Arabidopsis thaliana: one gene and its partner. The protein of the gene in region 2 purifies or fractionates together with the protein of the main gene of each other region. This does not show direct contact. Each region holds a gene or a part of one and is shown on either strand. Other genes may lie near its edges.

Region 1 (3,756 bases), on a different chromosome or scaffold from region 2:
ATGATCCCGTTTCAGAGCAACATGGCATATTTGGCGGACCTTGATAGCAAAAAAACACAGTTCAAGATTCCAACCCAAAAGTGAAAGCCTTTGTGCAAGAAACTGACACTTACCTCATCAGATACTGTGGCGGAAAATAAAAATGTTTGTCTCTGCTTAGGAACAGCAGCAATTATCCTCTCAATTTCCCTTCGGAAACCCATGTCCAAGAGATGATCAGCTTCATCAAGCACAAGGACTTTCACACCCATCAACCTTGTTGCAAATCCAGAAGTGTTGTCGATATGGTCTTTGAGCCTTCCGGGTGTAGCCACGAGAATCTGAGAGTGTGAAAATATGTTATTATTCAAAAATATACAGAGACAAAGATCACCATCTCTGCAGCCACTTTGACTGCAGGGAAGACAAATAATGCAAAAAAATCTAAATGCATAATGAGGCTTAGATCAAAGAACATATCCTGTGACTGAAAAACAATCCTAACTTGGACAGGGAAATCCATTTCTTTTTAAAAAACAATCTATCTTAATTCATATTCTTAGAAATTCAAATCATGAGTCCATATTGTTCTAGCGAAGGATAACCAACTCAGTTTGAAAAGAAATATATGCAACTCTATTGGTCAGATAACAAGTTTCATCTGAGAAGTCCAGCTCAATGGAAATGCATGATTTGCTCAGAAATAAGTTTACATATTAATACAAATGAAAATTTACCTGGCAAGGACTCTTTTGCAAGCGCCTTTGCTCCGTAGGAAGCTTAGTGCCTCCAATCACAACTTGAACACCAATAGATGGGTGATACTTGAGCAAGATGTTTGCTTCTGCAGCAGCTTGACAAGCAAGTTCCCGAGTAGGACATACCACAAGCACAATAATTGGGGGATGCCTATTATCACGGCTTGCAGGAGGAGCTTTGATAACAGCTTCAATTGATGGAAGCTTGGAAAAAGAAACATCAACATTAATAACAAACCCCAATTAATCAAACTGATTGTAATCCTAAATGACCAACATGAACCCAAAAAGGGTATCTCACCAAAAATGCAACTGTTTTCCCAGTGCCTGTTTTGGCCTTCGCAAGGATATCTTTACCTGGAAAACCAAGGAAGAATAATTAATAGAGGAATAGTCAAGCTTCAAAATGTTTAAGTCATGACAAAACATAAGGAATCATGAAGAAAGATGCAAAAGTTTCTGCCTTTTAGGCAAGTTCACCTTGGAGAATGAGAGGAAGAGTAGCCTCCTGAACAACAGTCATTGTCTTAAATCCAGCATCCTCAATTCCTTTTAACGTTAAGGGAGACAGTGGGAACTGATCAAATCTGTAAGAACCATTTTACCATAAAGAGAAATCTGAATCAAACACCACTAAGAATAGCTCTGAAGCTATCTCCGAAAGAAACGCAAAAAATGTACCTTGTCTTTGACAAATAAGAATCTGAAGTTTTAGCAATTTGAGTCACTAGAGGCGTAGTAGAAGCTGGTTTCTTAATAAGAGGCTCATCAACATCAGATTTGCCTTCTCTTCCCCTCTTTAGACTCTTATTGTTGTCCTTGACTAGCTTTCCCGAGCCATCTTCGTCACTCGTCAACTTCTTCACAAGTTTAGCACGAATCTCTCGTCTCTTCTTACCGGATTTGGGTCCATCGGAATTCATGCCAACGAGTGGAGAAAAGACGGAAGAGAACGGTGAAGCGTATGCCTTTAACTGTAAGGCTCTGCAACTACCAAATTCCCGCCGTCGGTTATTTTAGGGTTTAAAAGGTTTTGTAGGAAACACAATTTAGGGCTTAAGGGTACAGATGCGAGTGGCCCAAAATGTCAACAAATATACAAAACGGCATGTAGTTGCTCCCTTTGCTTTGAAACGTGTTGTTTTATATCAGAAAAAAGTTTTGTTAAATCTTCAAACACGTATAATCCAACTTAATACTTTTTTTGTTTTTTTAGTGAAAATCGAAATACTCATGTTAACAAGCCATTACAAACAAAAGACCTTTATAAGAAGGCAACTTTTATAGGATTTTTTAGTTAGGAAGTCTTAAGAGTGTAGCAAGAATGACAAGAGACTACACGTCTACACTTACAAAACATTAAAGTTTTAAAACCAAAGCAGATCACTAGGAAAAAAGAAAATCTACTTGGTTCTAAGACCAGGAACGTTTTTGAGACCCATCTTGCCAAGAACATTTTTGGGGATAGCTGGTGGGCTGTCAAGTCCCATGCTGCGGCTAAACTCATTGGCCAGCTCCACCAGTCTGGTCGTGTCTCTTGCAATCATCTTCTGAGATTTGTAGTAACCCAACCACGCCTGATACGCCGCCTCCTTGTTCTTCATTTCCACTTGGCTCAGCCCTTTCTGCACCTGAATTCAACAAGTTTATTATACCCAGCAATACTCACTCATACTCACACCCTTCAAAAATCATAGCTTTTAACTTCAAAGAGTTGTGTTATGAGATTCAGGTTCAGTTTCAAGTTCCCTACTCATTCTGGATTGCCAGCAAATATGAGTTAAGAAAGGCTTGCCAAGTTCAGTAGAATCACAAATTCATGTGAGTGCGCTTATATGAAAATGCTTACCCTTTTCACAGCCTCTGGGTCTATTGGCGGTAGTGGAGACTTGGTGATGGGCAAGTCTTTAACAGATGACATAAAGTACTCTTCCCATGGTGCCAACAATAAGACTCCTTCCCCTTCCTTCCCTTTCCGCCCGGTTCTGCCAAGTCTATGTATATACTGCTCCCTGTCTGATGGCAATCCCATCTGCAAAAGCAAACAACTTCAGTTAAACAAAAGAGATAAAATTTGTAGTCGCAGAACAATTCCATGTCAGAAAACTATGGTTACCTGTACGACCAATGACACATCAGGGTAATCCACACCACGAGCAGATACATCAGATGTGACTAGGATAATAGCCTTGGACTTGCGGAACTCATCAGAAACTCTGGTTCTGTAACTCTGCGGTTTTCTAGAATGGATCTCTCTGACGTTCAGGCTTAGCTGACTAAGCAGATCAGCCACCAATCTTGTCACCATAGCAGTTGTACAGAAAATGATAACCTACAACAGCAACGAAATCGGGATAGTTCAGAAATACAGACATTGGTTATTCATAATGGCACTAGAGAGATAATGTTACCTTATAGTCCACATTATCTGCGATGTGTTCTTTAAGAAGCACATGTAGAAGCGAAAAATGTCTATCCAGTGATGCAATCATGTACATTTGTGTGACCTGGAGATAAAACAAACATAAGAAACTGATAACATCCAATCATATGGCAGGCCATTCACTCAAATTAAGCTAAAGAGAAATCTTTTACCTTTTGATGTGTCTCCCCAGAGCCCTCTTGGACACAATTGATGAACTCATGATCCCGTTTCAGAGCAACATGGCATATTTGGCGGACCTTGACACCAAAAAACACAGTTCAAGATTCCAACCCAAAAAATGAGAGCCTTTGTACTAGAAAGTGACAGTAACCTCTTCAGGTACGGTGGCAGAAAATAAAAATGTTTGTCTCTGCTTAGGAACAGCGGCAATTATCCTCTCAATGTCCCTTCGGAAACCCATGTCCAAGAGATGATCAGCTTCGTCAAGCACAAGGACTTTCACACCCATCAATCTTGTTGCGAATCCAGAAGTGTTTTCAATATGGTCTTTGAGCCTTCCAGGTGTAGCCACAAGGATCTGAGAGTGTTCAAATATGTGATTATTCAACAATATATAGATATAGGTCACGGTAT
Region 2 (3,756 bases):
GCCGCAAAGCGAACCACTCATATCATCAGAAACATCCTCCGACGTCGACTTTCTCGAACCATTTTCTAAAAGCAAACGTCGTCCAGTTCCTCTCCGATCACCATCAGTCTGCAAAGCATTGATGACATGCTTCAATGCACGAGTCGGCGAGTTACGATTCGCGATCATCAACTCTCCGATCTCGGCGGGACTCAAAGACGCACCGTTTTGAAATATTCCTTCAACTTGAGAGAAAAGCTTGTGCTCTTTAACACCTAAGTAGTTATTAGCGAGCGTTTTAAACGCCGTGAAATCACATAAGGGAAAATGAATGTGTACGTCGACCCGACCCGGTCGAAGCATAGCCGGGTCAATTTGTTCTTTCCCAGTCATCGTAAACACCATGATCCGTTCATCGGCGGTGCAAGAGCTGAGAATACTATCAGTGAAATTCAAAATCCCAGATAAATTCACAGCCGTTGATTTCGTCGAGAGGTGTCGATCTAGATCTTCGATCACGATCACTGATTTGCCTCTGGTTTGTAACAGAAGCATCTTAAGATCTGAATCATCAACTACTTTGGAGAGATCTATATCGTAAACATCGTAATCTAAGAAATTCGCCATTGCTGCGACGAAGCTTGATTTTCCGGTACCGGAAGGTCCGTATAAGAGATAACTCCGTTTCCAAACACGGCCCAGACGATTATAATACTGTTTACCTTTGAGGAAAGATTCGAGATCAGATTTGACTTTGTTCTTCAGATCCGTTTCCATGGCGATGTTGTCGAAGGTACAAGGATGATCAAACGGAATCGATCTCCACCGTCCGTTCTTCTTCTTCTTCTTATTCAGATGATCATCGATTCCGACGTTGATGAAAAGCTTAAGCTCTGTGTTCCTCTGTTCAAGCTCATCAGATACTGTATGTATATGCTGGAGATAAGAACCGAGAATTCTCCGTTTGTCAGCTTTACGAATCTTCAAAACGAAATTCCTCGCTCCATCTTCGTCTTCTCCGTTAATCCAACAAACTCTAGCGCCGAGAAACTCGTCGCCAACGACTTGGTTCCGATCTAACCGGAGGATGATTTCGTTGGACTTTTTCCCGGTGAAGAGGTTCGTGAAATCAGAATTCTCGATCGAGCTTAAGGAATTTAGATACATGTAGACTTTTTGGTAGAGATGATTCTCTTGAACGTTGTCGTTGAATTCTGGGACTTTGTAGAATTGGTAAACATGAAACCAGTCGATGATCTTCCTACGCCATAACTTGACCATGTAAATCAATCCAGTTTTGAATAACAGGATCCTAACTAAGAACAGAGCAAACGTTGACACAAGTAACAAGAGAAACGAATCCCAAAGAATCCCCATGGAGAGAAATAAAATAAGAAAAACGTAAAACCTCTCTCTGGTTCCAAAACTCTCCGCTATATTATATAGTAGTAACGAAGAAGAAGAGTTTACTAGGTTTATTAGAGAATAAAGAAAGCAAACGCATGTTCGGAGAATTGTGAGAAAAAACAAAGAGAGAGTGATTATTTTGACGGAGATTGAGAGAAAGTTTGGAGGAATATTAAGAACAATCGGAGAAAGCCTAAAAGGACGACGAGATATTATTATTTTTTTCTTAAATTATTCTTTAAGAAAAAAGGCGTGACGGGGACGAGGTCACTCAGCAATCAAAGGGGTGATTTTTATAAATCTAGGTAACGGCGATTTAGTTGTTTGACAAGTTCTTTGATTGCTGATTTGGAAGATTTTCTTTTAAAGCTAATAATCCACATGGCAAAAAATATTATTATTAGAAGAAGATAAAATATTCATTAGATTTATAGAGATTTTTTTGATACTTTGGCTGAAAAAAATTCTAAAAAATTATATATTTACTAATTTTAGATAAATAGTAATTAATAAAGCATTTACATTCGGAACTTAATTACCAAGGAAAAATATTAGAGTTAGGATAAATCTTCTATTACTATTCTAATTTCTATAAACCAAAAATTATACGTTTATCTACAAAAAAAAAAAAACTGAGAGAATATTATGGTCTTATCTACCACAAAATATGTTGCATAGTCTTTATAGTTCTCAATTAATATAAGTTAGGTGTCGAGTTAATTATTTATCTTTACGCATAAGGAAGATTAACAGCGTAATCTATTGGTAACGCGATACATGTTGCATTTGATACGGCAACCGAAATATTCTTCGTTGCAGATTAGTTTTCAACTATCGTGACAAGACGAACTTGTAAAGTCAACTTAAACGAGGAAACAAAGCAACATGATTTTTTATTTTTATTTTTGGTACAAAAAAAAATATTATTTATGTTCATTACTCGACTATTCCACATATATATTATTACAATCGGTATCAAGGACAGGACTTCATAGCTAATTCACTTAAGAAACAAGCTAAACTTGTCTGTCATGTTTTTCTAATTTGTCAAGAACATTTAGGGTCGGCGCAAGAGGAATTAGGCACTTCTAATTTATACTCAACTTAACAAGCGGCGAAACCCTTTGGCATTTTGAAGGGTTTTATTTGATGAATTGGTAACTAACTCGTAAATTTTAATATATACATTTTAGTTAGAGAGATGACTAGACTTATACTGAATAAAGAAAAAGAACGAACGGCCAAAAGACAGCTTTGTATAGTTCATGGTTCATGATTAAGCCCAAAAGTTTAGTTCCCACCACCAACTAACACTTACAATAAACAAAATTAAGTATAAGTTTCCGGAATAGCCGCATAATTATTCTTCCTATTATATAGCAGAAGAATAGACCGGACAATTTATGCCCCTATGCTAATTTTCTTAAACTATTTTGCTTTCAACGTCGACTAATTAAATTTTGATTTAACCATTAAATGAGTGCAGCACTTATTTCTTTCCAACAATTAATAGTTTTAATATTTTGCTTATTGTTGATATGTAGCGAGAGCATCGGATATTTGTATTTCCTAACTTGCACCAAAAATCAGCCTACTACAAAGAAGTTTAATCGACCAAAACACCGCCATTCAACGAGGGACTCAGTAATTTGGATAATATCGCAACTAATCATAATTAATTCATTACAGTTACAAGAAAAGTGTCATGTTCATGAGTAAATACACTTGTGGTCTTTTTATAAGATTGCATGTGTTTGGTGTTTGTTATTTGGTACAAGAAATATCAACACTCATTTAATTATGTTAAGGTATAAGTCTATATCATATAACTCTTATTTGGTTATCTATCTGTTGTTTTCTTTTTATTTGGTTAAAGCATTCATTTTGCTTAATGTAGATTTTTTTTGAATCTTAATATCATGCAAACTTAAATATGTTTTCGTCTAAAGACTAACGTGCAGACTTTTCATTGTTTATTTTGTTTGTAATTTGGAGGACTCTTCAAACAAGAATAGCTTCGTTTATACAAGGTGTGTATTGGCGGACTCAAAAAGACTTTGAATGTTTCAGCATGGGAATTTTCAAATTTCCTGAAGCCATACCCATACACGGTGGTCCTATATTAATAATAATTACACTCACTGGAAATAAATGTTCTTCCGTTATTTTTATCAGCTTTTGCTTTACATTTTCTGCACTAATCGATTGCCTGTAAAGTTGTACCAGTTGAACGTCATCGGTATGTGCATTCATCATGATTCCGTGTTCAATTATGCATATATTAAGATCGAGCTGATCAATCTAGTTGATCCCATTTAAACCAAACTAAAACCGTATTTAAACTTTTAAATACTGCAAATCCAGGTCAAA

Evidence for each region.
Region 1: the proteins of AT2G46620 (region 2) and STRS2 fractionate together in Arabidopsis thaliana (co-fractionation; one large-scale study listed by BioGRID). This does not show direct contact.

What each region holds. Positions count from the first base shown.
Region 1 is NC_003076.8:2,792,444-2,796,199, reverse strand, and holds the start of STRS2 (DEA(D/H)-box RNA helicase family protein), read right to left. Parts: upstream 1,813-3,756; 5' UTR 1,661-1,812; coding exon 1,419-1,660; intron 1,325-1,418; coding exon 1,218-1,324; intron 1,095-1,217; coding exon 1,039-1,094; intron 942-1,038; coding exon 717-941; intron 321-716; coding exon 114-320; intron 40-113; coding exon 1-39. Other genes in the region: PDE340 (P-loop containing nucleoside triphosphate hydrolases superfamily protein), read right to left, coding at 2,141-2,368, 2,587-2,769, 2,854-3,069, 3,149-3,244, 3,333-3,419, 3,494-3,700.
Region 2 is NC_003071.7:19,139,191-19,142,946, forward strand, and holds the start of AT2G46620 (P-loop containing nucleoside triphosphate hydrolases superfamily protein), read right to left. Parts: upstream 1,660-3,756; 5' UTR 1,357-1,659; coding exon 1-1,356.